Saccharomyces cerevisiae S288C: one gene and its partner. The protein of the gene in region 2 purifies or fractionates together with the protein of the main gene of each other region. This does not show direct contact. Each region holds a gene or a part of one and is shown on either strand. Other genes may lie near its edges.

What was found.
Region 1: the proteins of SER3 (region 2) and PHO12 purify together in Saccharomyces cerevisiae (affinity purification with mass spectrometry, with the first as the bait; one large-scale study listed by BioGRID). This does not show direct contact.

Annotation. Positions count from the first base shown.
Region 1 is NC_001140.6:537,008-554,295, reverse strand, and holds PHO12 (acid phosphatase PHO12), read right to left. Parts: upstream 2,198-17,288; coding exon 794-2,197; downstream 1-793. Other genes in the region: YHR214C-E (uncharacterized protein), read left to right, coding at 2,797-3,096; YHR214C-D (uncharacterized protein), read left to right, coding at 3,355-3,648; YHR214C-C (gag protein), read left to right, coding at 4,950-6,386; YHR214W (uncharacterized protein), read right to left, coding at 12,034-12,645; YHR213W-B (uncharacterized protein), read right to left, coding at 13,197-13,496; YHR213W-A (uncharacterized protein), read right to left, coding at 13,514-13,747; YHR213W (uncharacterized protein), read right to left, coding at 14,549-15,145; YHR212W-A (uncharacterized protein), read right to left, coding at 15,351-15,554.
Region 2 is NC_001137.3:310,178-324,905, reverse strand, and holds SER3 (phosphoglycerate dehydrogenase SER3), read right to left. Parts: upstream 2,221-14,728; coding exon 811-2,220; downstream 1-810. Other genes in the region: UTP7 (Utp7p), read left to right, coding at 1-634; AIM9 (Aim9p), read right to left, coding at 3,060-4,943; YER079W (uncharacterized protein), read right to left, coding at 5,354-5,986; YER078W-A (uncharacterized protein), read right to left, coding at 6,096-6,260; ICP55 (aminopeptidase), read left to right, coding at 6,564-8,099; MRX1 (Mrx1p), read left to right, coding at 8,306-10,372; YER076C (uncharacterized protein), read left to right, coding at 11,408-12,316; tyrosine protein phosphatase PTP3, read left to right, coding at 13,707-14,728. UniProt on the Saccharomyces cerevisiae protein: Catalyzes the reversible oxidation of 3-phospho-D-glycerate to 3-phosphonooxypyruvate, the first step of the phosphorylated L-serine biosynthesis pathway. Also catalyzes the reversible oxidation of 2-hydroxyglutarate to 2-oxoglutarate.

The DNA of each region.
Region 1 (17,288 bases), on a different chromosome or scaffold from region 2:
GAAATTGGTTATATAGAAAATAATAAGAAAAGTAAGGCAAGGAATAGAATAGAATACGGAAAAAAAGGTTCCCAGCATACTAGGTAAAATGTATAAGCCCACGAAACTGAGAAAAAGCCACCAAGATTCTCCGGTTAAATGTTCAGCAAAAAACTTCCAGCCGAAATTTTTACCAAATATCAAATGGAAAAAGTCTTCACTATTTATACTTTTTTTTTTTTTTATTTTTTCGTTTTTATTTTTCCGCTTTCTTCGAGAAAAAGAGATGCGCGGCGTGCCTGCGCGGCGGTTACGAAAACCAATAATTTTGAATAAAAGAAGCACTGTAGAGAACAGACACGGTAGGATATATACTCATATGGATGTTCTTATATAATATCGCGCTCAACCGATCATTTATATATTATGTGTCACTATATCATCCTACAACATCCGCTCTGTTAATTAATTGCCCTATTCTTTCACATCATAACCCTACTCTTGCATCATCTCTAAACGACATTTCATGTACTTGCCCTGGACGCTATCTTAAAACATTTTACCACCTCATGTAACCCGCATGTCATGTCTATGGTATAAAATCATGGCTTTGCATATGCCTTACACGTATATTCATACTATCTTCGTCTTGCTAAAGAATAATAAAGTAATTGCGTACTGTGCCTTTGTATTTCCCTCTTTGGACTGTGTTTGTTGTTCCAACTTGGTACTTCTCGCAAGCAAAAGTCAAAATAAGAAAAAAATTAGCATTCATATTTAGTTTCTAAAATTACATAAATCATATTAGGTCTATTTACTGTTTTAATAAAGTGTCGTTGTAGTGCTTGGTATTCCAGTCCCAGAAAAAGGTCAATTCAGTAGAGTTACTGACGCTGCTGACGTTACAGACCTTTAGGAAGTCAGTACCGGCTACTCTCTTTTCAGCATAGCCGTAGAAGTCATTTATTTCACAAGAGAACCCTGGACCAGTAGAACAGGTTTCAATTGGAACGACAGCATCGTTGATGACGTATCTAACATAGGTGTCATTGGAACACTGGAACTTTTCAGTGTAAACACGAGCACCTTGTGGAACGTACCAGGATCTGTGGAAAGTGTTTTCCATGAATGGAACATGTTCGGCGGTCAAGTTATTTTGGTCATCGATTATGCCGATAGTGGTCAAATAGTTCAGAATATCGGTATCGTGGGTGAAACTCAACCAAACCTTTTGGTCCTGGACCTCACTTTCCTTTAGTAGTTTCACTGAAGCGTTGAACAAGTTGGCACCGACGGATCTGACGACGTCATAGCCTGGTCCCGTTTGATAATAAGTTTCCAAGTCTTGGCCGTAGGAGAAACGGACCAATTCATCTTTGGTGAAGATGTTACAGATGTCACTGTAACCTCTAGCGTTTATTTCATATGCACACCATGCAAAAAAAGTGTTTGCATCACTTGAAGTCAGATTCAAACCCTTGTTTTCCTTGTTTAATCTCTTGGCAATACCACTCAAATATTTGGTATCATATTTTTTCAAAATGTCATCGTTGACATCATCGTCCCAAGCAGGACACGAATGGTGGGCACTCAGAGTATTGGCACCAGCAGACTCGGCTTCACTGATGGTTTGCAAGGATATGTTGAATTTATCACCCAAACCGTCAATGAAATACTGGGCAGTATCATGACATCTGTTCGAGTTAGACGTAAAAACGGCAAAACTGGTTTGGTTTTCGACCATGTAGCCATATTGCGCCAAGAAATCACGAGCGTGTCTCTTAGCATTCATCTCACCGGTATATGGGTTCAAAACATTGACCGAATTGGCAAGTGTGGTTTCCATTTCTAGGTTTTTGGTGTCACGAATGAAAAATTCGTAGTCATCGTTCAAGAAAGACAATGCTCCGCTGAATTGACCGGTATAGTTACTCAATTTGTACCACGTTGTCATGATACTTTTGGCTTTGCTGACAGTGGGGTATCTTTCACCGTGTCTACCAACCATTTGCACTTGCTTCATTTCACAACTTTCCGGCAAATCACGAGAAATACCATAATCACCAGGGAAAGAGTAGTATGGCCCAGAACCACCCAAAAATGGGAAAATTTCCGTTTGAGTTCCGATTTTGTCAATGTCAGATAACTTTCCGAGGGGTATGGTACCTGCATTAACCAAAGAAGCGGCTAAAATTGAATAAACGGCTGACTTCAACATTGGTATTTCTGATGATGTTCTTGCTCTCTTTGCTGTTGTTGTTCCTCTTCTTCTTCTTCTTCTTCCTACTTTACAACCAAGGCGAAACTGAGCTTGAATCTATCGAAATGTAAGAGCTTATATACGTTTTACTTGGCAATTCGACGCTGTTTATGCTCATTCCAAAACGGGTATAACATATCTGGTGAGATGACCAATTTGGCAATGTGACGTGCGGAATATGGAATCTCTCCGGTAAACAGGGTCTGAAATTCTGTGTAATTTGCCTTTTTAAACCCACGTGTGAACGCCAAGATTGTGCGGCTTCGTTTAGGGATGTGTTCTGTTTTCTATTAACTTTTTACTCTTTCCTTCCTATTTCCTTTTTTTTTTTTTTTTTTTAGTACACATGAACTACAGAATGTTATGCGAAAACGTGGTAATTTAATAAATACGTGACACAGCGTATAAGAAAAAGCTTATCAAGGTTATCTCTGTCATTAAAACTTTATTAGACACCCACGATGAATGAAACGATGAAAGTAGATATAAGAAGTAGTCGGAAGTGAGAAAGAGAAAATGATAAAAGAACGAAAAAATCCCTTTATTTTCTCATCTTGATGTATAAAATAACTACTATATATTTGTGGCTGAAATCATACCTTTCATTTTTCATCGGCTTAGATAATCTTGATTTTCTCACCTTAATACGCTTTTTTCAATGTCGTTTACAAAACAAGCTAGGTTTGCAAGATATCCTGGACTTTTTTTGTAATCTATGTGGCCACAGTATGGTTCGCACTTGCAACATGGTAGAGGCTGCCCAAAAACAAAACCGCATCACCTTTGGCAGCATTTACGTGAAACTCCATCCTCTTGTCAAACTTTGCACAGGAATCGTGTGGGCCCCACGAGTGTGAACCAGTAATTACATGTGCGGCTCTATTGGCATTGTTCATATCTGTAAAAGCAACTCCTGCTCCCAGTACCGTTTCTTTCCGTATTGGAAACGGTCACAGCACCGGTCTTGTAGACAATACCCGAGTTTAGCTAAATGTCACTTGGGCACTTTCTAATGACATTTCCAGCCAAAAGAAGTAATTTTGCTCATTTAAAAAAATAGTTTGCCATATCACAAAACAGTCGGTCGGATAATATCTCCTTCCAACAGTAGGAGAATGGAGGACCACACCCTTGTGGCCATCGTTGTTTTCTTTGGGAATGGTGAACCTTTCCATGTGTCGTTGTCTGTAGAAATGGTGTTCGTGCTGCTTCTTTCATCCACTAGAATTCATGAGGTAGTAGTTCTTATATGTTATAAACTTCAACACGCCACCTGGTCTTGGGGTAATATGAGCAAGAATTTCTCTCTTAAACCGGATATAAGTCTGAGCTTTCTGTTGGATATAATTTCTATAAATGATATATGCATCTACGGTTGCATTGCCCTTACAGTTGTGTTTATTTTATAAATCTACGTTTAGTATAAGAAAATTGTATTGTCGAGTCTTAGCTGAGTTCATATTTATTCAAAAAATTGGCCTAAATGTTATGTCTCTTTCTCGATCCATGAATTATTAGCAACACCGAGAATTGCAGCAGTGATGCTTCACATTAATGCATGTTCCTCCCTGTTGCCTTTTGGTAAAGTCATGGGCATATGATTACTCCGGGCGTCGCGCGGCTGAAGGCGTCTAAAATAAAATGTTCAAAAATGATATTAACTTTCTTATATATCTTAGACCTGCTATTTCTTTCTTCTTTTTTTTTTATTTTGTATTCAATTGGTTTTCACTTTCTCGAAACGCAAGGCTTAAATAAATCAAGGACAGATTCGATAGCTTCTTTTGGGACAGTCAGCTCTTCAGAGGTAATTGCATGACTTCATGATTCGCGGAATACGAAATGAAAAGGGAGGTCCGTTTGAGGTAACTCAGTTCTTTACGAATCACATGCAATATTCAGGGTAAAAATCCAAGTTATCTAATTTTTTTTAAACTACCTTTTTCTTTTGTACATCACGTTTCACTATATATTCTACTACATCTATTTTCGGCCCAAAACTACAGCATTTGCAGAAACAAAACGACGCTTTCTGTTCCTGCTGATAGTATTCATGACACATTCCATATTGCATGTTGCATTTAAAACGAAGGGCCAAGCCATGGTCATGTGATTTCCATGTGCGGCAACTTCAAGACTTCTTCTTTTGGGCATAGGAAGACATTAAAAATATTATTTATGCATTATTCTTATGTCGGCTAATAGATTCAAAGAAACCCACGAAAAATTTACCGACCGCGAGAAATAAAAGTAAATGAAAAAAAAAAAAAAAAAAAAAAAAAAAAAAAAAAAAAGAAGAATGTGTCTATCTTCATAATGGTGCCTTCGCTAAACCATCTTTTCTGACGCTTTATAGTTCGAACACAGCATTCTTCAACCGCGTAAAGTTAAAATCACTTGAATGTTTACACTGACGTTTTGTTGGAATAAAAATCCACTATCGTCTATCAACTAATAGTTATATTATCAATATATTATCATATACGGTGTTAAGATGATGACATAAGTTATGAGAAGCTGTCATCGAGGTTAGAGGAAGCTGAAGTGCAAGGATTGATAATGTAATAGGATAATGAAACATATAAAACGGAATGAGGAATAATCGTAATATTAGTATGTAGAAATATAGATTCCATTTTGAGGATTCCTATATCCTCGAGGAGAACTTCTAGTATATTCTGTATATCTAATATTATAGCCTTTATCAACAATGGAATCCCAACAATTATCTAATTACCCACATATATCTCATGGTAGCGCCTGTGCTTCGGTTACTTCTAAGGAAGTCCACACAAATCAAGATCCGTTAGACGTTTCAGCTTCCAAAATTCAAGAATATGATAAGGCTTCCACTAAGGCTAACTCTCAACAGACAACAACACCTGCTTCATCAGCTGTTCCAGAGAACCTCCATCATGCCTCTCCTCAACCTGCTTCAGTACCACCTCCACAGAATGGGCCGTACCCACAGCAGTGCATGATGACCCAAAACCAAGCCAATCCATCTGGTTGGTCATTTTACGGACACCCATCTATGATTCCGTATACACCTTATCAAATGTCGCCTATGTACTTTCCACCTGGGCCACAATCACAGTTTCCGCAGTATCCATCATCAGTTGGAACGCCTCTGAGCACTCCATCACCTGAGTCAGGTAATACATTTACTGATTCATCCTCAGCGGACTCTGATATGACATCCACTAAAAAATATGTCAGACCACCACCAATGTTAACCTCACCTAATGACTTTCCAAATTGGGTTAAAACATACATCAAATTTTTACAAAACTCGAATCTCGGTGGTATTATTCCGACAGTAAACGGAAAACCCGTACCACCAATGTTAACCTCACCTAATGACTTTCCAAATTGGGTTAAAACATACATCAAATTTTTACAAAACTCGAATCTCGGTGGTATTATTCCGACAGTAAACGGAAAACCCGTACGTCAGATCACTGATGATGAACTCACCTTCTTGTATAACACTTTTCAAATATTTGCTCCCTCTCAATTCCTACCTACCTGGGTCAAAGACATCCTATCCGTTGATTATACGGATATCATGAAAATTCTTTCCAAAAGTATTGAAAAAATGCAATCTGATACCCAAGAGGCAAACGACATTGTGACCCTGGCAAATTTGCAATATAATGGCAGTACACCTGCAGATGCATTTGAAACAAAAGTCACAAACATTATCGACAGACTGAACAATAATGGCATTCATATCAATAACAAGGTCGCATGCCAATTAATTATGAGAGGTCTATCTGGCGAATATAAATTTTTACGCTACACACGTCATCGACATCTAAATATGACAGTCGCTGAACTGTTCTTAGATATCCATGCTATTTATGAAGAACAACAGGGATCGAGAAACAGCAAACCTAATTACAGGAGAAATCCGAGTGATGAGAAGAATGATTCTCGCAGCTATACGAATACAACCAAACCCAAAGTTATAGCTCGGAATCCTCAAAAAACAAATAATTCGAAATCGAAAACAGCCAGGGCTCACAATGTATCCACATCTAATAACTCTCCCAGCACGGACAACGATTCCATCAGTAAATCAACTACTGAACCGATTCAATTGAACAATAAGCACGACCTTCATCTTAGGCCAGAAACTTACTGAATCTACAGTAAATCATACTAATCATTCTGATGATGAACTCCCTGGACACCTCCTTCTCGATTCAGGAGCATCACGAACCCTTATAAGATCTGCTCATCACATACACTCAGCATCATCTAATCCTGACATAAACGTAGTTGATGCTCAAAAAAGAAATATACCAATTAACGCTATTGGTGACCTACAATTTCACTTCCAGGACAACACCAAAACATCAATAAAGGTATTGCACACTCCTAACATAGCCTATGACTTACTCAGTTTGAATGAATTGGCTGCAGTAGATATCACAGCATGCTTTACCAAAAACGTCTTAGAACGGTCTGACGGCACTGTACTTGCACCTATCGTAAAATATGGAGACTTTTACTGGGTATCTAAAAAGTACTTGCTTCCATCAAATATCTCCGTACCCACCATCAATAATGTCCATACAAGTGAAAGTACACGCAAATATCCTTATCCTTTCATTCATCGAATGCTTGCGCATGCCAATGCACAGACAATTCGATACTCACTTAAAAATAACACCATCACGTATTTTAACGAATCAGATGTCGACTGGTCTAGTGCTATTGACTATCAATGTCCTGATTGTTTAATCGGCAAAAGCACCAAACACAGACATATCAAAGGTTCACGACTAAAATACCAAAATTCATACGAACCCTTTCAATACCTACATACTGACATATTTGGTCCAGTTCACAACCTACCAAAAAGTGCACCATCCTATTTCATCTCATTTACTGATGAGACAACAAAATTCCGTTGGGTTTATCCATTACACGACCGTCGCGAGGACTCTATCCTCGATGTTTTTACTACGATACTAGCTTTTATTAAAAACCAGTTTCAGGCCAGTGTCTTGGTTATACAAATGGACCGTGGTTCTGAGTATACTAACAGAACTCTCCATAAATTCCTTGAAAAAAATGGTATAACTCCATGCTATACAACCACAGCGGATTCCCGAGCACATGGAGTCGCTGAACGGCTCAACCGTACCTTATTAGATGACTGCCGTACTCAACTGCAATGTAGTGGTTTACCGAACCATTTATGGTTCTCTGCAATCGAATTTTCTACTATTGTGAGAAATTCACTAGCTTCACCTAAAAGCAAAAAATCTGCAAGACAACATGCTGGCTTGGCAGGACTTGATATCAGTACTTTGTTACCTTTCGGTCAACCTGTTATCGTCAATGATCACAACCCTAACTCCAAAATACATCCTCGTGGCATCCCAGGCTACGCTCTACATCCGTCTCGAAACTCTTATGGATATATCATCTATCTTCCGTCCTTAAAGAAGACAGTAGATACAACTAACTATGTTATTCTTCAGGGCAAGGAATCCAGATTAGATCAATTCAATTACGACGCACTCACTTTCGATGAAGACTTAAACCGTTTAACTGCTTCATATCATTCGTTCATTGCGTCAAATGAGATCCAACAATCCAATGATCTTAACATAGAATCTGACCATGACTTCCAATCTGACATTGAACTACATCCTGAGCAACTGAGAAATGTCCTTTCAAAAGCTGTGAGTCCAACCGATTCCACACCTCCGTCAACTCATACTGAAGATTCGAAACGTGTTTCCAAAACCAATATTCGCGCACCCAGAGAAGTTGACCCCAACATATCTGAATCTAATATTCTTCCATCTAAGAAGAGATCTAGCACCCCCCAAATTTCCGATATCGAGAGTACCGGTTCGGGTGGTATGCATAGATTAGATGTTCCTTTACTTGCTCCCATGTCCCAATCTAACACACATGAGTCGTCGCACGCCAGTAAATCTAAAGATTTCAGACACTCAGACTCGTACAGTGACAATGAGACTAATCATACAAACGTACCAATATCCAGTACGGGTGGTACCAATAATAAAACTGTTCCGCAGACAAGCGAACAGGAGACTGAGAAAAGGATCATACACCGTTCACCTTCGATCGATACTTCCTCATCAGAAAGTAATTCACTACACCACGTCGTTCCTATCAAAACGTCAGATACCTGTCCTAAGGAGAATACAGAGGAATCTATTATCGCTGATCTTCCACTCCCCGATCTGCCTCCAGAACCTCCTACCGAATTATCAGACTCCTTTAAAGAACTCCCACCGATAAATTCTCATCAAACTAATTCCAGTTTGGGTGGTATTGGTGACTCTAATGCCTATACTACTATCAACAGTAAGAAAAGATCATTAGAAGATAATGAAACTGAAATTAAGGTATCACGAGACACATGGAATACTAAGAATATGCGTAGTTTAGAACCTCCGAGATCGAAGAAACGAATTCACCTGATTGCAGCTGTAAAAGCAGTAAAATCAATCAAACCAATACGAACAACCTTACGATACGATGAGGCAATCACCTATAATAAAGATATTAAAGAAAAAGAAAAATATATCCAGGCATACCACAAAGAAGTCAATCAACTGTTGATGATGAAAACTTGGGACACTGACAGATATTATGACAGAAAAGAAATAGACCCCAAAAGAGTAATAAATTCAATGTTTATCTTTAACAGGAAACGTGACGGTACTCATAAAGCTAGATTTGTTGCAAGAGGTGATATTCAACATCCTGACACTTACGACCCAGGCATGCAATCCAATACCGTACATCACTATGCATTAATGACATCCCTGTCACTTGCATTAGACAATAACTACTATATTACACAATTAGACATATCTTCGGCATATTTGTATGCAGACATCAAAGAAGAACTATACATAAGACCTCCACCACATTTAGGAATGAATGATAAGTTGATACGTTTGAAGAAATCACTTTATGGATTGAAACAAAGTGGAGCGAACTGGTACGAAACTATCAAATCATACCTGATAAAACAGTGTGGTATGGAAGAAGTTCGTGGATGGTCATGCGTATTTAAGAATAGTCAAGTAACAATTTGCTTATTCGTTGATGATATGATATTGTTCAGCAAAGACTTAAATGCAAATAAGAAAATCATAACAACACTCAAGAAACAATACGATACAAAGATAATAAATCTGGGTGAAAGTGATAACGAAATTCAGTACGACATACTTGGCTTAGAAATCAAATATCAAAGAGGTAAATACATGAAATTAGGTATGGAAAACTCATTAACTGAGAAAATACCCAAATTAAACGTACCTTTGAATCCAAAAGGAAGAAAACTTAGCGCTCCAGGTCAACCAGGTCTTTATATAGACCAGGATGAACTAGAAATAGATGAAGATGAATACAAAGAGAAGGTACATGAAATGCAAAAGTTGATTGGTCTAGCTTCATATGTTGGATATAAATTTAGATTTGACTTACTATACTACATCAACACACTTGCTCAACATATACTATTCCCCTCTAGGCAAGTTTTAGACATGACATATGAGTTAATACAATTCATGTGGGACACTAGAGATAAACAACTGATATGGCACAAAAACAAACCTACCGAGCCAGATAATAAACTAGTCGCAATAAGTGATGCTTCATATGGTAACCAACCATATTACAAGTCACAAATTGGCAACATATATTTACTTAATGGAAAGGTAATTGGAGGAAAGTCCACCAAGGCTTCATTAACATGTACTTCAACTACGGAAGCAGAAATACACGCGATAAGTGAATCTGTCCCATTATTAAATAACCTCAGTCACCTTGTGCAAGAACTTAACAAGAAACCAATTACTAAAGGATTACTAACCGACAGTAAATCTACAATCAGTATAATTATATCCAATAATGAAGAGAAATTTAGAAACAGATTTTTTGGTACTAAAGCAATGAGACTAAGAGATGAAGTATCAGGAAATCATCTGCACGTATGCTATATCGAAACCAAAAAGAATATTGCAGACGTAATGACCAAACCTCTTCCGATAAAAACATTCAAACTATTAACAAACAAATGGATTCATTAGATCTATTACATTATGGGTGGTATGTTGGAATAAAAATCCACTATCGTCTATCAACTAATAGTTATATTATCAATATATTATCATATACGGTGTTAAGATGATGACATAAGTTATGAGAAGCTGTCATCGAGGTTAGAGGAAGCTGAAGTGCAAGGATTGATAATGTAATAGGATAATGAAACATATAAAACGGAATGAGGAATAATCGTAATATTAGTATGTAGAAATATAGATTCCATTTTGAGGATTCCTATATCCTCGAGGAGAACTTCTAGTATATTCTGTATACCTAATATTATAGCCTTTATCAACAATGGAATCCCAACAATTATCTAATTACCCACATATATCTCACGTTTATATATTAAAATACTTTCTACTTAGTTATTTTTAGGAAAGTACGGTTACGCACTCATTTTAAAAAAAAGCAAGGATGAAAATACCTGCCAAAGTACTTAAAGCATTGGTTCTCAAACCAGCAGCCATACCTTCGGATTGAACGACAATACCAGTGAAGGTGCTGGAAGCAGCAGTATGAGAAGTTGGAGCAGCAGACTTGGTGACTGTGCTAGTGGCCAATGATGTTTGTTTGGAAGCCTCGGAAGTGACAGTCTTGGTGTTACAGCCGTTGTCGTCACAGTGAGTAACGGTAACAGTAGTGTATGATTTTGGAGAAATGGTGGTTGCTGCAGTTTCTTTAGAACATTCAGAAGTGACAGTCTTGGTGTTACAGCCATTGTTGTCACAGTGAGTAACAGTAACAGTGGTGTATGATTTGGAGGAAACGGTTGCAGTTGCGTCGGTAGCAGTTGGTGCTGGAACATGGCATCCGTTTTCGTCACAAGATGTGATGGTGGCAGTGGTAGATGAGCATGGGACAGTTGTGGTAATGGTGTAAATGTTACCGCTAGCGTCGGTTGTTTCTGAACAGGAAACCACGACTGTACTTGTGGCATTCAAGTAAGTTAATGTAGTAGTGTAGACAGAAGCGGAACCTGAGGTGAAGCTGGTGGCGGATGCAGCGGATGCAGTAGAAGTAGTGGAAGCGGTGGAAGCAGTAGAAGCGATTGAACCAGATGCTGTAGTGGAGTTTGAGACACCAGAGATGGAGGCGCTAGATGAAGGAATTATTGAGTCTGGGGCGCTAGAAGAGATCGTAGAAGAGACGGTGGTAGAAGCGTTAGAGGATAAAGTGACTGAACCAGTGGCAGTAGAGACAACACCAGAGGTAGTGGATGCGGATGTGGATGCGGCGCTTGTAGCGATGACACCGTCATAGTTTAGGTAATATGAGTAGGCGCCTGCGAAGATTCCTTCGGAGACACTGAAGCCAGAACTAGAGAATCCAGTACCAATTTCAAAAGAGAATTGTCTGTTACCTTGGGTTGCAGTTAAGACACCAGTAGTACCGTCGTAAGAAAGAGCAGTGATGTCAGCGGTAATGGCAATTTGGTTCTTACCGGTGTAGCCAACAACAGGAATAGGAGTGGCGTTGGTTTCGGTTGGGTCAACGGCAAGAACACCTTCACCCTTGAATACAACAGTTTGGCCAGTAAAGGTGTCAGGGTAGTGCAAGTATAGGTTACCAGAGACGATGTTGATTGTACCGTTTCCAGAAACTGGTTCAACGATAACATAGGTACTTCCATTGTCTAGGTTGATTTCACCGTTATTTACAGAGCCTTCATCGTCGTCTCTACGTTACAAACCGGAAACAGAACCACCGTTGAGAATAGCATTTGACAAAGAAAAGGTACCAGCGTTAGAGTATGGAGAAAAGGTGACTTCACCCTTCTTGGCCTTTGACAAACTCAAAGAAATGTCACCGCTGCTCTTGAACGAGCTAGGTGTGAATGAATAGATAGATGCGGAGACAGCGCCAGTTTCTTCAGCACTGAAGTTACCGGAAACTTCAAAAGTCTCACCAGAAACGTCGAAGGCGGTACCTTCGTAGCTTGCTTCAGACTTTTCGACAACCAAATCACCGTGAACTTTTAGATCAGATGAGAAGACGTATTTTTCACCGTCAAGTAAAGTCAACTTACCACCGGCAGCGACTTCCACGGCCTCGGTTGCAATTACTTTACCAGTAACTGTGAGATCACCGCTAATTGTTGTGGATGGCAAATAAACGGTACCGTCACTGGAAGAAAGTGAGTCGGAAGCGGTGGCACTTGCACTAGCTGACGAGACGGAAGTGATAGAACTCAAGTCTGCGGAGGAGGTGCTATTGGTGTAAGAGTCACCGAGAGCGCCGCGAGAGAGTAGGGCCAAAGCGACAGCAGCTTGGAATTTGTTAAAACGATTGAACATCTCTTTTTTTTTTGTAATGGGCGAGAGTTTACCAATAAAAAGAAAGAAATAGTAAAGCTTGCAAAGATGAAAACTTGGACTGCTATTATGAGAACAAGAGTGAATATGACGATCCAGTGACAATGAAGCATATTGAAGTACGATTTACCTGCTTTTTATATACTTCTTCTTGTTACTACTCACGGACTCCTAACCCATAGCTATAGAGCCCGAAGCTACAGAGACCGATGGTGTGCTAGATCAAAATTTTTGTGCATGCATTTCTACGAAGAACATTCTCAAGCCCTGTAAGGCTTGTACGCGCGCGTTTGCCAACAGGGAACGAGGTGCTAATTTGCAGACCAACACATAAGCAATTGGCCAAAACAACAACAACAACAATAACAATAGCAGCAGCAGCAGCAGAACGCGATTTAGCCTGGCCAGATTATTGTAGAAGAGGCACGCGAAAACAAGAGCGGGGAAGGGGCAAGATTGTTTGTTACGTGGGCAGACGCTCAGCTACTTTCTATACAATCCCTACTCTGTGAGGTGCTTATTCAAGCAATGTTCTATAACTTTGGCTCAGAACAGATCATACGCCAAAAACAGAAAAGAAAAAGATAGCTATGTCCTAATGGAAGAGACAAGAAATCTTTGCGGCTACCCTCGAGAGAGTTAGTGCACTGTTTCTCCGTAGCCGCGAAATGCTTCTTTTCTGTCCCTGAAGCGCACGGCTGCGTAATCTCACTGCGACGCGGACGGCAATTGTTTTCCGCGGAGACGTGGCTGACAAAAGTCCCTGTGAAAGAAGGCGCTCGCTCTCTTCCGTGGGTCCCTGCTATATAACTACAGCAAAAATCAATCAACATCCTATTCCTGACGAGAATTACTCCGTCTCGTTAAAGAATATCTTTCCAGCGTTTTCTAAGGAAACGCGCAATGTCGCTCGAACTACAAAGACTGAACCTTTGGGTTCCATTATAAATTCTTGAACTTGTTTCATACCCATATATAAGCGGTGCAAAAGACAAAAGGGAAAAACAAAAAAAAAATGAAGAAAAACGGACAAACGGATAACCGGCACCTTCTGTACCACTACATCGCCCGTTTTCGCCAGCATTTCATCAGCACAGATTAGATAGTGTATTCCTACCTCCAACTATCTTATGCTTGGTTTGAATATTTTGGCCCAGTTTCTCAGGTCTTGCTTCCAGGCGCACCCAAAATGTGGTCTTGGTGTGATTGTCGTCACCTTGCCATCCTCTCTCAAATAACGTGGTTCTTGGTAATCTTCTAGACACTTTCCATAGTTTCAAGTCACGTGCGAATTGGCATGTTGCAGAGATTTAGATGGCTATATTTCCTCAAGTTAGCGCATTTGGCTTACTTGATCAGGCGCTTACGAGCTACATTTACGCCTGTCTGTATAATTTTGTTTCTTGACGATGGGATTCTCATAAGAAAGTCCAGAGTTGTTCGCAAGGTTAGACACTTTTAGCAGCTAGTGCGTGGTACTTGTAGAATTGCGAACCGGGCATTACAAAACAAGCCCTTTTTTAGCGCTGTCAAGAGCAGAAACTGTAAGTATGCCAGAGTTAGTTGCCGCCCCAATGCTCTTTTCCTGGGCCAATTCGAGAAGTTGAACAGCTTTGGATATTACTGATAAAGAGATGTTTGCCTTGGGGGGCTACTACGGTAATAAGCGTCTTGTCGCTAATGACATGCCAGCAATCACTAAGATTGTTTCGCTCTCAGAAGAACCAGAGGTGGAACTACTGGTTTGAATGACGGATGATTTAGATGATTCAGAGAATGTAGAAGTGGAGGTCGTTGCAGAAGAAGAAATGACCGAGGAAGACATGACTGAGGAAGAAACTACAGAAGTTCCATTGCTGCGATAGAATGGAGTAATAATTGGATGCTAAGACGTGATAGAGCTGGTGATTTGTTCTGAAGAAGATGATGACAAACTGGATGAGGTGGCAGTGGTTGGAGCTTTGGCAACAATAACGGTTTCGTCAGTTGGTTGACCATTAGTACCGGTGACGGTGGTCATTTCAGTAGATGTAGAAGTAAAAGTACCAGTCCACAGTTCGGTAGTAGTTGTGACGATGCTAGTAGTATGTTTTGAAGGATCAGGGATAGTACAATTTGACTGACTTAAATCATCGTCAAAAGAGTAAACGTACCCTTCAAAGTCATCACTAACAGTAGTACCATCAGGCAATTCCACGCTAATTGGAAGCGTGCCCCAGGAAACGGCATTGGAGTAAACAACCTTCAGCGGATAATAGTAGCCTGCATACATGTAGACAGTCCCTCCGATGTTATCAGGCAAACTTCCTTGCCATGGCTTAATACCATTGATTGTAAAATCCGTCGATGTAATTGGAGGTTGTTCTTGTGCACAACATTCGAACGCAACGTTACCACCGACTGATAGAATTGCAGAGTCATCGACCTTAGCAAACCTGAACGTGTAAGAACTTGTTTGTGGTGGTAAAAAGTAACCTGTCATTTCTAGAGTAGCGTTTTTTGGGATAGTAAGAAACCAAGTAAATCAGTACTCCAATAGGTCTTTCTTGGCTATTTTGAACATTCACTATGACCTCTGCATCCCCAGTTTCCATAAGCATCTGATTGAGCACATTTAAAAGTTCCTGAAGAGATAACACAAGAAAGATCGTAGTCAATTGAGAAATCCGTCTGTCCGCCAACGGAACCTAATTCCAATTCGAGGCATATCCAGAAGTCATATATTGCGGGTAGGAATACGTTGTTGAATCCAGTAATGAGTATTTATAAAAGTTGACATTCATCCCATTTTTCCTCGGGCCCACTGGCAGGCATGCTTGTGTACTTCCTGAAACAACATTGGACGTGGCCAGGTAGGTGAAGAGTGCCAAAAATAAATAGTGATAAGGCATTTCTTGGTTCGTCAATCAGGTATGGGTATATTAAACAATAACTTTTAGCCATGCTGTTAATGATGAAAATTTTGATGCTGGTCTCTTCATATGTCATTGTTTTGGGAACTGTCTTTTTTCGATCAGATGTATGCGCTACGATTTGTTTAGCGTAGTGATGTTCCTGCGCTGTATTTAGGAAATTTTGGTATCGAAACGTCCCTACAACACTTTTTGTCGCTGATATCTGCACATGCGAGTAACGCCGATTCCATTACATTATTACCTTCCACTTCCCAGAAACGATTTATTACGACTCAACAAGTTCAAGAAAAAAATTAAAAAGGTTACAACCACATTTTGCGTTTAGGTGCAGCGAGGCTTACCTTGATGCAGTCCTAAAGAGTCCTGCAGCAGTTGTAACGAATCCTATTTGCTTTTATGCATTCCTAAACGGGCTGAAGTATAAGTCTTGAGGAACTCCGGGAGAAGATACGATAAGCTCTGAAGTGCCAAATTTTATTATCAAAAAAAATATTTGTACAAGCGGAAAAGGAGTATACTCTTCCTCTTTTGCTTCATCACAAGAGGATCATTTTGACGTTGTCTGTTGTACTACTTCTTTATCGGCGTGCGCAGGAAAAGAAAGAAAAAGGAAGGAAAAAGAGATGTCAAAAACCGATGTCAAAAAATCTCGTGAGGCCTCCGGAATTTTGACGCTGCAAGTCAATCTACGGGAAAGAAGAAATTTTTTAAACTTAATGCAAAATAAGCTTTTTTCTTGGAAAATAAGATTTTCGGCAATAAAAGGTAAATGCAGCCAAAAATCAAAATACTTCAGAAGAAGTCGTAGCGAGGACTGCTACGTGGAAGCGGATTTGAAGATCCTTTCCAGAACAAGAAGGAGCCGAAAGCTGCCAGGAACTGTTCCTGATTTTTTAGGAAAACAATTAATAGGTATCTCGTCTAGCGTAGTATCTCGAGTTTCCAGAAGTTGCAGATAATCAAAATCATTGTTTTATCGCTTTTTTTAAATTACAGCTTAGAAGAGTAGAGAGCAAGTTTACTGAAACGGTTCCTTGTTTACAATAATATTCCTAACAAACTTCACGAATTAGGATGCAGCATGATTTTTTATCTTGCTTCACTTCCTAAAGTATGAATTTTTATCCGTAGTCGCAACCAAAACAGCTACTGGAAATTTGCAGCTTGTTAAAAACCGGTAGTTTCCGAATACTCCTCGTCCTTGAGTTGTATACCGTTAAACTTCCTAGGGTATCATGTGTCTGGCCCAAAATTGACCCACAAAATCTGGTCCTATTGACGGTCTTCTTTTGATTTTCAGCATCCTACTCTAAGAAGGACAGAAAATTATGAAATATATGGGAGAAACGGCCTCCCAACTGCTAAGTGTTCCCGGCAGCACGAGTAAGCAAAATTCAGGCAACCTATTGCATTAAGAAGCCCTACATAATTCAGCGTGATATGATGGAGTTTTGTTAATTGCAAATTTTAGTACGATTTGGTTGTTAGTGTGTGTTTATGCAAGTAATTATTGAACCCTAAGTAGTTACTGTCTTCTTTTGCTGTAATTCGTGGATTCATGGCCCTCCAGCAACATGGATTGAAAGGTTCTTTAAAGTTTTTAATCCGTAAAGTTCTGAAATGTATTTTAATCATGTCAATAATTCAACTGGTGGGTAGCATTTATGACCAAAAGCGTACTTAAATTAGCAGCAAAAAAATTTTTAATAA
Region 2 (14,728 bases):
TTTAAAATTAAGTGGAGACAGTAAACCGTGCTTCGGGTCCATGGGAGGGAACCCACATAGAAACACCCCTTACATGTCACATTTGTTTGCCGGAAACAAAGTAGAAAATTTGGGATTCGTACCATTTGAAGATTTACTAGGTGTAGGCCATCAAACGGGTATTACGAATTTGATTGTACCTGGTGCAGGTGAAGCCAATTACGATGCCTTAGAATTAAACCCATTCGAAACCAAAAAACAAAGACAGGAACAGGAAGTCAGAACCCTATTGAACAAACTGCCAGCAGATACAATTACTTTAGATCCGAATTCCATCGGTTCAGTGGATAAAAGGTCTTCTACCATAAGGTTAAACGCTAAGGATTTGGCGCAAACTACAATGGATGCTAATAATAAAGCCAAAACCAACAGCGACATTCCAGATGTAAAACCTGATGTGAAAGGTAAGAATTCGGGTTTGCGTTCCTTTTTGCGTAAAAAGACTCAAAACGTTATTGATGAAAGAAAATTAAGAGTACAGAAACAACTGGATAAGGAGAAAAATATTCGTAAAAGAAACCACCAAATCAAACAAGGCCTAATTTCAGAAGACCACAAGGATGTCATCGAAGAGGCATTGAGCAGATTCGGCTAAATCGAAATATCTTTAAAAAAAAAACTTAAATGATTATGTATGTATATATAAAATAGATAATCATTATTATTGCCTCAAGCATTCTTCTATCCATTTTTTTTTTGGTTCTTTTTAATATTTTATAGGAAACTTTTAATCATGTTCAAAAAGTTGACAGTATGAGAATCGATTGCATATTAATATAGCAATCTAATTGAGATCTTAGCAGAGGTTTGATTTAGTTGTTCATAAATATCTTTAATATCGCTTTGGTCAACAGAAGAGATATCAGCCATTAAATAAGCAATTTCACCATTTGAATCGGAAAATTGCTTTTCGATGTTATGGTTCGATAAAATATCATTGACGGTCTTCAAAACACCTGGTACATTTTGGTGAATGTATAACACACGCACAGTGTTCTCTTGGTCGTAAGACAATGATTTCAATGCCACTTCTGGGAAGTTGACTGAACCGACAGAGTTACCTTCATTGATGTATTTGGACAATGCGGTAGCCACTTCAATACCGATTGAGCTTTGGGCTTCTTCGGTAGAGCCACCAATGTGTGGTGTCAAGATGATATTTGGTAATGAAACTAATTCAGAAGTCCAGCTATTTAGCTCATCGTTAAATGAACCTTCACCGTTCTTAGCTGGTTCATGTGGATAAACATCCAAAGCAGCACCTGCAATTTTGTTGGCTTTCACGGCTTGGATCAAAGATGGAATGTCCACGACAGTACCTCTTGAAGCATTAATAACATAAGCGCCATCCTTCATAGCAGCAAATTGTGGGGCAGATAACATTTTTTCAGTTTCAGGAGTAGCTGGTACATGTAGTGTCACAAAATCAGATTTATTCAACAATTCATCTAATGTAGAAACTTGTCTGGCAGTACCCAAGGCCATGATAGTTACAATATCGTAGTACAACACATGCAAACCCATAGCTTCTGCAAGAACTGATAATTGGGAACCAATGTGACCGTACCCAATAATACCAAGAGTTTTTCCTCTTACCTCCCAACATCTAGCAGCAACCTTATTCCATGTACCGGTATGTAATTCGATAGATCTATCACCTAGTTGTCTTGCTAAACTAATGATTTCAGCGATGACCAATTCTGCTACTGATCTTGAGTTGGAGAAAGGCGAGTTGAAAACAGCAATACCTCTGCTGGTAGCGTAGTCTAAGTCAACTTGGTTGGTACCGATACAGAAACAACCAATACAAACCAGATTCTTCGCATGTTGTAAGACATTTGAAGTTAATCTAGTCTTTGATCTGATACCAATAGCATGAACGTCCTTGATCTTTTCGATCAACTCTTCCTCGGGCAATGAAGATTTATAGAATTCGACTTGGTAACCTTGCTCTTCGAAGATTGTAATAGCAGTTTGATTAACGTTTTCTAATAGTAAAATCTTCATATCACCCGTTGAGAAAGGCTTCAAAATTTTTGGGTGCTTTACAGCATTCAAGCGCTGTGGAACGGTATTCATGAAAGATTGCGTAGGTGAAGTACAAACAGCGCCTGGGGAGCCGCTCATATTCATAGCTTGTTGAAAGGTATTTTGTAAGTTGTTAATGTCAATGCTTGTCATTGCTGTCGATTTTTCTGTGGTTCTTTATAGAGTTCTGTATTTTTACTAAGATAGTTGACAAGTATCAAAAAGTGAAATAACTAGAAATGGTTCTTCCTTTATATACATAACAGTTTTAAGAATTTCCTTATCCTCTGCTCCCTCCTTCCAACAAAGTAATTACTCATAACTTGGATATTTGTCTGATTTTTTCATCCCGCTCAGAAAACCCTGCACGGGCAGCGTTGCATTTTCTTAATTTTTTTCTCGTGGTAGAAGTCAAGGACAATAAATTGCGAAATTAGGTGGGAACGAGAAGAATAATTAAAGTGCTGAGACCGAAGTTGTTCCCCTTGAATTCCATTTGTGAGTAAATATCGAAAATGGGTCCACAAAAAAAATTAGGTTTTTCTAAAATATTAGGTCCAGCCTAACTGCTTAACCAAATTTTTAATTTGTGATATTTGCACATAGCTTGGCCAAACAAAGGCATTACTCGATTGTGAGTAAAAAACTAAAACAATGTAGATAATCAGGATTAAACAATGGCATTTCTATGGATTTGTTGTTCTCTTTATATATTTGAGGAAAATTCAAAGATAATGGGGAGAAAGGTGGAGATGTATCTCCACCTATCGTAAATTTGAAAGTTCCGCTTTTCCGCCAATTGCACCCAAACATCACGCAACGCTTTTTAAAACGTTATCAATATATCCAATCCAGCATTGTTAAGTTGATTAGTAAATGGAAGAGATTCCATTGTGTACAAAAAAGGGTTTTAACTTGATTATTTTGTTATAACGTTCTATACAGTTGAATGAGGTAAAGAAAACAAAAAAATATTTCATTTTTAGTATAGATTATTTGGTAGCTTCAGGTTGCTTCACGGTGTAGTCTCCGTTCTCTTGCTTAACAATACTGCCGGAATTTAATAGTTGATCAAACATATCTTGAGGAATCCACCCTTGAGTGGCAGCAAATGGTGTAGAGATTAGCTTTTCGTGTAATTTTTGCAAATCCTCAACATGTCTTTCAATATCTTCTTTACTATAGTTTAGAGGAAACTTTTTCTGATTCACTAACTCATTCTGGGCAAAGATGTCCCAAACTTCCTTCAATTGCAATAGTGATTCATCAATAAGTAAATACTCTTCTTCCGTTTTTCTTTCGACAGCTGCAATATATGGGCTTCTCAGTAGCTTAACAGGTGGGGCAACTGCAGTAATTAATTTAGGATTATTGTCATTTAATTTTTTCTCCCATTGATGTTGATTACGGGTGCGCTTGTACATGAACTGATATTGCACCTTTTCCGCCTCAGATAATTTGTCAAAATCGGTTATGTCCTCCTTTAAGTCATAAATCTTGGGCCCATCATAGGCGATGAATTGTGGCGAATTCTGTAAAATGAAAGGTTTTGTGCATGCTCCTTCAAAATCTAATAGATAGGCTTCTTGTGCTTCTTTGTTAACAATAATATTCATGGGGTCTAGATCAGGATGAAACAAACGTGGTGACAATAGTTCCTGCATATTTGGAATGGCCTTTGTTTTGACGTTGAATAAATCCGGGGCAATCTTAGCTAAATTTTCATAGGTAGTTATTTGCTCCTTCAAAGTTCGAGGATACATCAATTCAGCTGAACTTCCTGCCTCTTTCATGGCTATTCTAGTTTTAGCATTTTCAGCTTCCAATAGGCCAGTATTTTTAATTATATCCATTGGAGACTTCTTTGGCCATGGTCCCAAAAAAGGTTTCATTTGTTTATGAAAATCCAAGTGAGATTTATGTCTCCAGAGACATCTTTCCACGGATGGCCCAATTTTCCATCTGTTTTGTAGATCCGGATTAGTTTCCCCATCGTATATGTCTTCCTTAACAAACTCCTTCTCATTTCCGTCTTTTAAGTCATTGTTAAAATATATGGATCCAAATGCATTTAATTTCAATGACACTAACTTCGACTGAAAATCAGAAACTTGTTTAATAACATTGTCATATTTTTTTTGATTGGAGGAACCGTCTTCAATCAATGGATCCCAATCTTTCATCAAGAGTTCTCCTTCGATAAATTCTTGTAAGACAAAAGGCTGCCTTACAGGGTTCAAAGAATTGACACCATAACAAAAAATCTTGGGAACTTTGATGCCCAACTTCAAGTCAGCAAAATCCATGGTTGCTACTTCACTTCTTATTCTGTAGGATAGAGTGTTTTCATTTTCCAGCGGATAAGGAATCCTCAAGATAAATGCCTTGTTCAAATTCGTGTCGACCTTGTATATTCTGTGATGTTTACCTTCGTGAATACTAGATAATGTGGTTACTTGAACTTTTTCATTTGGGTTGATTTTACCTATATTCTTTGGTACAACGTTATTGACCAATGAAACGGTCAAGTTCTTGTTAAACACTGGTGGTAAGATCTTACCGTCGGGGGCCTTAGCCATTTCATTAGATTGAATGTAGATGTCATTGAGAATGCGATTTAAACCTTCAATCGAAAACTTCGTGAATCTTTTTTCCTTTTCTTGCTTATCATTTTTAAGCCATGAGCCCCACGTATATTTGAAAAAGGCATCTCTCTTTGGATCATTGTCATTCGTTAGCTTGGTAAAAACTTCGTTTGGCTTATTGGAGATAAATCTCTTGGTGGCGGCGACGGTGATACATTTAATTGCACCCACTCTTTTCGAAGCTCCTACTACACACCTTCTGGAATGGCCAGCAACAGTGTACCTAATCATGCTTGGTCTTCGTATTGCTGTCTTGCTTGCTAAACAGCTTTTGCTACTTCTTCTTCGCTGATGAGAAAAGGGAGTCTACTAAATACAGTTCGGCTTAAAGTGTCGCTGGTCAGCAATCGGCCCGAAAATACATTGAACATTTGAAATTACCATGTTTCAAAACGAATATTTATTATAATTATTACTAGTAAAAGTTATACATAAGAAGGGAATAATACAAAGAAACGGGAAACAGCTAAATGTAGTATATAGCCGAAAGATGTGGACATATCCCAACAAATCGTCTTATGAGATCCTTTTTTTGTTTTATATTTTTTTTTTTTAGCGGGTATAAACGTATCATTTATATATTTTATTCTTTCCTTTAACTCTCAAAATTTGAGCAATTAGGTTACTGTGGTTCACGTGATTCAAGTGTGCACATTGCTGCTATGCTTTGTAGTATTATCCATAGAGTTTAGGGAGGGGGAATGGTCGGAGAGTGGGTAATTTGCATTGTCTAATGGAGCAGAATCAGCGTTACTTTTCTGGAAATAAAACTGGTCCGATAACGAAGTAGTAGAATCAGAGGTGAGATTGGAGTTGGAAGTGGTGTTGAGTTTGTAAAACTTTTCGGTTTGATCATGCGATACCTTGTATTTGTCATCCTTGTCATTCTTCTTTTTTTTGTTCTTCTTTTTGTTCTTAGGGTCTACCATATTGCTAGTCTTCGGGGTAGGAGACTTTGTTCCATTATTGTGATCATATTGTTTTCGAACCATGGAATTCAATAAATTAAGTGAATATTTCGGAATCCCATCTCTTTTGACATTAATCCCCTGAATACCATCCTTCGTGGCAATCATGGAGGCACCTGATGTGATGGAGCAACCTGAGTTCGTTCTCGTTATCCTATCTTCACCAGAGGCAATATTGGAAGGGCTCATTGATCTCTGATCTAAGTCCAGGTTAGTAGACCTGTTATTAGTGTAAATGGACTGATCATAGAGAGAGATGGCAGATGCAACATCTTTTGAGCTTATTGAATGTGATGAATCAGGCATTATTAACTATTCGCTTCCTTTTCTTATCTCAGCAGTTTGTGTTTTTTATTCTTATTGTTATTATCCCTTTTAACTATATATGCATAAGCTAAGTTAAATATTAAAATATTTATATATAAACGTTACAGGGCGTGTGAACACATTTGAAAAAATGCTGGAAGGTAATGGTAGATATAAGAATTGGAATAACAGGTTGATAGAGAATCGCCAAGCTAGAGAGTTCTGACAAGCGGCAAGGGGGAAGGATGAGACGCAGATACGAAAGCCGCACCATTAAACCGTAAAGAGAGAAAAATAAAGAATGACTTATTTCTCGGAAAGGCCAAATGCAATTATGCAACACGCACACATTCACACTCACACTCACACATAAACTTTGACTGAAACCAAAACTGTTGTGAGTAATAGCCTTTCTTGTTCATAAAATAGTACAAGATACAGTAAATATATATCAACTCACCTGGTATAGGGATCACTTACTGCACTGCAAAAGTGGATCGTTTGCGCAAGAAACTCCACCAATTCTAAAGAATATAATAGAAAAAGCTAATAGGAAAAGTGGTCATTTTCTGTTGATATGTTACATAGGATAAACCCAGTACGGTTTTCTATGCAATCTTGCCAAAGATACTTCTCGAAGTTGGTATCGCCATTGGAACAGCATAAAAGTAATACTTTTACTAATAGAGTCAGAATCCCCATTGAGGCAGGCCAACCACTGCATGAGACAAGGCCGTTCCTTATAAAGTCGGGCGAGTTGACACCAGGCATTTCAGCCTTGGAATACTATGAAAGAAGAATTAGGTTGGCGGAAACATTGCCTCCCAAAAGTTGTGTGATTTTAGCTGGTAACGATATCCAATTTGCATCTGGAGCAGTATTTTATCCGTTCCAACAGGAAAATGACCTGTTTTATCTTAGTGGTTGGAATGAACCTAATTCGGTCATGATTTTAGAAAAGCCAACGGATAGTTTAAGTGATACAATTTTCCACATGCTGGTTCCGCCAAAGGATGCGTTTGCTGAAAAGTGGGAAGGATTTAGGTCTGGGGTTTATGGTGTTCAAGAAATTTTCAATGCCGATGAATCTGCTTCCATTAACGATTTGTCTAAATATTTGCCCAAAATAATTAACAGGAATGATTTCATCTATTTTGATATGCTATCAACTTCTAATCCCAGTTCGTCCAATTTTAAACACATCAAGAGCCTGTTAGATGGCAGTGGGAATAGCAATCGATCATTGAATTCCATTGCGAATAAGACCATCAAACCCATCAGTAAAAGAATTGCAGAGTTCCGTAAGATCAAGTCCCCTCAAGAGTTGAGAATTATGAGGAGAGCTGGCCAAATATCAGGAAGATCGTTCAATCAAGCCTTTGCTAAAAGATTTAGGAATGAGAGAACTTTAGATTCCTTTCTTCATTACAAGTTTATATCCGGTGGTTGCGATAAGGACGCATATATCCCCGTGGTCGCTACTGGTTCGAATTCTTTGTGTATCCATTACACAAGAAACGATGATGTGATGTTTGACGACGAAATGGTTCTTGTAGACGCTGCTGGCTCCTTGGGTGGTTATTGTGCTGATATTTCGAGAACGTGGCCCAATAGTGGGAAATTCACTGATGCACAAAGAGATCTCTACGAAGCTGTATTAAATGTTCAGCGTGATTGCATTAAGTTATGTAAAGCTAGCAATAACTATTCCCTCCACGACATCCATGAAAAGAGTATCACACTCATGAAACAGGAATTGAAAAACTTGGGCATAGATAAAGTCTCCGGTTGGAATGTTGAAAAATTGTATCCGCACTATATTGGACACAATTTAGGTCTAGATGTTCACGATGTGCCTAAAGTTTCCAGGTACGAACCATTAAAGGTTGGACAAGTTATTACTATTGAACCGGGTTTATATATTCCTAACGAGGAATCATTTCCATCTTACTTTAGAAACGTCGGAATAAGAATTGAAGATGACATAGCCATTGGTGAAGATACTTACACTAATTTAACTGTTGAAGCAGTGAAAGAAATTGACGATTTAGAAAATGTCATGCAAAATGGCTTATCTACAAAATTCGAGGAGGACCAAGTGGCACCACTGTAATGTTATTGCTAAATTGAGTACACCCTGTATATACAGATACATAACTTATCGATTTAAGGTCTTTTAATATTAAACGGAAAATTCAAAAAAAAAAAAATTTACTGAAAATATCTTGAGATACTTTTCTTCAGCTTTCTTTTTGTTTTTTTCCTCTTCTTCTTGGGCACTGCTCTTTAGTTTTTATTTTTAGTTACGGCAAAATAAAGATGGGTCTAAAAATTACAAAAGGACAGCTGAGAACCAAGGATCTGAATCAATCATCCTCAAAGTCATCGCAGTCTTCAAGAATAGGTGTAGACACTTGTATATTTACTAGAATGCTACCCCGAATAAACACTGCAATTAATCTCACAGAGCATCTGCTGAGAAGATCTTTTCATTCACTGACAAATCTACAGAAAACTCAAGTAAAAGAAAGACTACATGAGCTAGAACGTCACGGTTTCATATTAAATAAAACATCCAAACAATTGGAAAGGATAAATTCTAAGAAAAGAAGACAATTGAAAAAACTGCAAAAGACAGCATACCCCAAGGATCAAGCTTTTCATATTCTTCGAAAATTTCATAAAATAAATAATGAGGCATTAGCAGATACAAAACTGGGGCCAACTAGCCAAAGCGACTTGAAGTTCCTATCCTTAACCAAAGATAAGAGACTCTTTTATACCATACTAGGCGTCAATGGAGAACAGTTACGTGATTCCAAATTAATCGCCAATGATGTTCAAAAATTTTTGAAAAGAGGACAACTGGAAAAAGCTGTCTTTTTGGCTAGGCTAGCTAAAAAGAAAGGCGTCGTTGGGATGAATTTGATTATGAAATATTATATCGAAGTTGTGCAGTCCCAACAAAGTGCTGTAGATATCTTCAATTGGCGAAAAAAATGGGGAGTCCCTATTGATCAACATTCCATCACAATCCTCTTTAATGGGCTCTCAAAACAAGAAAATTTGGTCTCAAAAAAATACGGAGAACTTGTTTTGAAGACTATAGATAGTTTGTGTGACAAAAATGAGCTCACGGAAATAGAATATAATACCGCTTTGGCGGCACTGATAAATTGTACCGATGAAACACTAGTGTTCAAACTTCTTAATAAAAAGTGCCCAGGTTTGAAAAAGGATAGTATTACATATACCTTAATGATAAGATCTTGTACCAGGATTGCCGATGAGAAACGTTTTATGGTGGTACTCAATGATTTGATGAATAAAATACCAGACTATTGTGTCGATTCTAAATTGTTATTTGAGTACTGTGAAGTAATATGTAGCCAGAAGTCACCAAAGATTGAGAAGCAAGGAATGGGACTATGGGCCCTCTGTGAATATTTTCAATTTGATAAGACCATTTTCAAGAAGTATTTGACACAAAGCGATTTTCCTACGTTAGTTCCACTAAGTCATTGGAACATCAATAAGCCATTTCCTCTCAACAAACATGTTGTGGGATTGTTTATGAATTACTGTTTGAAAAACAAGGAATATGATCTTGCTATGGAAATATTTAAGACATTAGAGGCACAGAACAACCAAATGTTAGATCAGAGCATATACCACAAATACATGGAAACTGTCATAACAACGAGGCCCATCACTTGCGGCGACGAGTGTCTGGACATTTATGAACGGGTAGCCTCGTCGGCACAAATCTCAATAACCAGGAGGACGTTAATTTTGGTGTACAACGCATTCCAAAGACAAAGTCTCAAGGCCGTTATAAACAAAGATGCATCAAATGCTGAAGCTACTTTGCACAAGATTCGGGGGTTTATAGATAGCGTAGAGGCCACATACTCATCAAAGTTGAACGGCAAAGTTTACAGGTTTAATTCATGGAAGTTCCTGTTTCCTATCGTTAAAAATCTGAACATGAATGATAAAGTGTCTACAGTGGAACTGAAAAGTATACTAGATGAATACTTGAAATCTTTATTGAATGGTGAGTTCGGGAAGGAATTTAAAGCGAGCATAGAAGACAAGCGGTTTGTTACGTTGGAGGGAATTCGTTTAGTCAAGGTTTTAACCGAGAGAATCAAGCTTCCGTCACTGGACAGTGAGGAAATAGCCAGTTTAAAAGGCACGGAAAGAAAGAAGTTTCTTGCCAGAAGGCACCTTTTGAGGCTGAAGCAAATATTACTGGAAGATTTAGCGGACATTGAAGGCAACTCAAGAAGGAAGGGTGATAGCGAAAATACAAGTACCAGTGAAGAGCGCATCATGGAGGACTTGGCCGAGCTGATACTTGAAACCAGCTATGACAAGTTTTAAGTAAAAATTGATTATTTACTCCTTTCAATATGTACATAGTTTTGAGGTTTTTTCAAATTTTTTTCCTATTTTTTTTGTTAATTGAAAGTTACTGATGATAAATTATTCAAAGGTGGTGTTAATTAAGAATGAAAGTACATCTTCCTATACTATGAAGGAGAGGTTCATATAACACGCGCAATTGGCACGTCTTAAGTATCATCAGTACAATATAGTGGTATGTCAGGTAAATATAACATGTTCAGTGTAACAACTCATATTTTCCACGTATATATTGGATCTGTAACTCAATTGCGTCATTGTCTACATATTGCTTTTAACAGTTTCATTATTCTGTTACTGTTGCAATTATATATAAGCGTATAAGAGATGTGCCTAAGTATACGATGAGAACGCACATAATGTTATTATATCAACTCGCCTGTATATTTTTGTACTACTTGTTCCAACACGAAAATAAACCAAAGTAAGAAGGGTTAGCACCTTTTTTTGCAAGAGAAATCGCTCTTCAACTATTTTAAGTCAATCCTATGAAAAAGGGTTTGCGCCAGATTTCCAGGGACAAAAAAGAAAGTTTTATGTAAGACTAGATTGTGTTGATATCTCGAGCAAACTGTTAACCATTTTAAACCAATATAGTAATAAGTGTGAATAATCGTTCATCTCTAAACAATATGTAAATAATTCTAAAGAACAAAATATTTTGTCATTATCATCAACCTGTGAGCACTGAAAAAAAATTAATTCTAAAATGGTGCTCCATTTGCAAATATTCTTTCTATTTCCCTGACTCCCGCTAATCGGTTTTATTAGTGAAGAATACAGCCGTGGATTGAAAAACAAACTGGTTCAAGTCATTAACTGAAGTAATGCGACCACATCTTATACAAGAGGCAATGCTTTCTAACAGTTTTACATTATTCAAAATCTTCACATAGCCGTAACTTAACTTATATAATAACCGCATATTGGGCTCTTCTGAAAGAACTATTATAAGAAAGATACAAAAGCAAGCAATCAATCCAAGGGAGAAAAATGACCTCAGGATACTATACCGTCTCATTTTTTTATGCGATCTTATTGTTATGCGCATGCACACGTGCTGAGATCTACCTGACGGGCGGTGAAAGCCAGGGCTTGCCATCAGGATTCTGGCAAATGGACGATGATTTGGCAATCGCTCCAGTTTCTATGGTTGAATTTTACCAGACGATAGGATTAACTGCAAATGGTACTGTACCTGAGTCCTTCAACAAGCGTGATGCTACTGAATACCCTAACATTATCAGTAATATAACTACCCAAGCAGCCAACTTCACTCAGCATAGTCTCGTCGAGCAACTTCAAAATGACGTCACGGCAATAAGTATCAGTAATGCCATTAATGTAGCCGTCGATGGTTCTGTGGAAACACCAGCAGACCTGCAATACAACCGCAACCAGGAAACAGGTGAATCTACCCTCTGTAGAGCCAAGTTTTACGGAGTGGAGGTAAGAACTTGGTCTAGGTTGTACAATAGGGCCGTCTCTTCCACAACTCTTACGACTAATTTGAACAGCTACATAGCGCAATGGGTAGCATGGGCCGTTCACGGGAGCGGTGACAAGAAGTTTTGCGGCAGCCAGGAGTTCACGAATATCTTTTTTGATGGGCAAGAGGGTTGGAGTTTGTTTGTCAAGACGTGGTCAACAAACAGTAGCTGTGATATTACAGCCTCTGAAGGAAATTTAACATGTGCAGTTCGTGTTTCAGTATCCAGTATGCACAATCACGGCAAGACAGCGTTTTGTGTTACCTATAGCCACGGTGATTCTTGGCGTGCCGAGCTGAGAGTAGTTGCCAATGATGCTTGGTCCCATTATTATCCCTGGAGTATTGACTGTCCAGAAGTTGATAAAAATAATATGGCTATTAATGATTGTTTTGATCAGGCGCAAGGTTAACGATTGAGTTTCCCATAATTTTTACCGCTCTCCTCTTGGTTGAGACGTATGCGAAAAGCTAATTCGACGTTTTTTATTGTAAAATCGTACACTTTTGCAGGCAATTCTACATATTATATAAGATTTAAGTCGGATCTTGAGACTTTTGGTGAACTTTGAGATGATTGTTGGGATTCCGTTGTTGATAAAGGCAATAATATTATGTATACAGAATATACTAGAAGTTCTCCTCGAGGATATTAGAATCCTTACAATGGACTTGATATTTCTACATAAAAATATTACGATTATTCCTCATTCTGTTTTTTATGTTTCACCATCCAACAGATCTAAACTCATTTCTTCAGGTATTTATAACTTTGATTGGTTCATCTTAGGCATACTCAATCTTACCTTTTTCATGCGTGTAGGAACGAAACTCTAAAATCATCTACGGGTTAAAATTGCTTATACGGAGGTACCCCGTGTTGAGATCCAACACATACAGAAATTCTGGGCACATGGCGCAGTTGGTAGCGCGCTTCCCTTGCAAGGAAGAGGTCATCGGTTCGATTCCGGTTGCGTCCAATGAAATCTTTTTGTACCAAGTTTTTCTCTGTTTTTGTTAGACCGCAAGCGAGTTTACCGAATCACAGCCCACCTCACCCCACAGGAAAACAGCAGCAGAACGGCTGCTAAATGACTATTAACAATAAGAGGTTTTCGGCTACTTTCGCTGCTTGCTCGTTAAATCCGTTCACTGGTAGCGAACCTCAACGACAGATGTCTATGTATGCTATACGTAAAATCACCCCCATTATGGCCATTTTATGTGTCGCCACTGCTACACACCCACCGATGTGTATGTACTTCTAATATCTAACCAGACCAGACCCCACGCTTTTTCTGGCATCTCCTGCTGCCATCTTGGTGTAGTGAGCGGAAACTTTAAACATTAAACAGAATGGCGGCGACTTTGAGATTTGGGCCCGCTGACGCTGAACGAAAAGAAAAGACCTTCATGAAAAAAATATTTTGCGGCAAAACGTCATCGGAGAACACAGCGCAGCGAGAATGTGGTGTTAGCCAGACCCAACAGTTTGCGCACCTGGCATGGATGGATGCAGATAGGTAGTGTTCGATGCGCAAGAGTCCAATCTTCTCCTCGCCATTTGCACCGGCGGATGTAACACTATATTTTCATTGACCTTAGCGGTTTTCTTTCTTTGACATGTAACATCATCACTTCAAGCACAAACAAAGAACTGTATACACAGACCACAAACTTGCATATTATTCTAACATCGGTGTTATAATAGCGTAGGTGCTCTTATCACTGCAAAGTTCATAGAAAATCCGTATTGTATCTCCCTTCTCCATCAGCAACACAGATCTACTTATCATATAGAACATGAAGGACAGTGTAGACTGCCCAAGCATTCTACCCACCGACCGCACTTCAGTGCTTTCCGAGACTAGCACTTTGGTCGGATCGAGTTCGCATGTATATTCGAGGCATGCTCCTATGAACAGTTATCATAACAGCATGAACAGCAACATATACCACAGCCCCAAAGCCAGTAGCCCTTTGGTGAGCTATAAGACATCTTCGCCGGTGTTATTGAAGAGGGCGACCGCTCCTGTCCTGCCAAGCTTCAAGCCCAAGGAACAGCGATATAATAAGCCGCAGGGTTGTTCGCTAATTACTGCTGTAGAACTGGGCAAGATTATTGAAACCTTACCAGATGAAAAGGTGCTCTTACTTGATGTTAGGCCGTTTACCGAACATGCCAAATCCATTATCACAAACTCCATTCATGTATGTTTGCCTTCCACGCTGCTGAGGAGGAAAAATTTCACCTTTTCCAAACTCTTGGACAACTTAACTCCTAGCGAGCAAAGCGTGTTGAAATCTAAACTGGCCATCGATAACCTTCGGATTATCATTTATGATAGCACCGCAAATCAAACGGAAAGTTCTGTTTCTTTACCTTGTTATGGAATAGCGTCCAAGCTAATAGAGTTTGATACTAATGTTAAAAAAACCGTGTCTATACTAATGTGTGGTTTTCCTCAATTCAAAATTCTATTTCCAGACCATATAAACACCAACACATTTAACTCAGATTGCATTAGTTCGGCTGAACCTAAAAGCCCCAAGACAAACCTTATGAACAGTCTACACAACACAGCGCCGCATATGACGGCGACAACACCACTATCGTCTCCGCAAATGAACCTTAAGTTGAAAGTTCCTGACGATAGTAGGTCAGATCATTCAAACTTTTCCAGTTCTCCCTCTCCGCGTAACGTCCTATCAGATTCTCCCATGTCTTCTTCTTCCCCCATATCTGCCTTATTTAAGTTCCAGCTGCCTGCACCACAAACAAACATAAACCAAATGTTCAAATTTTCGCAAAATGAAGAAATAAT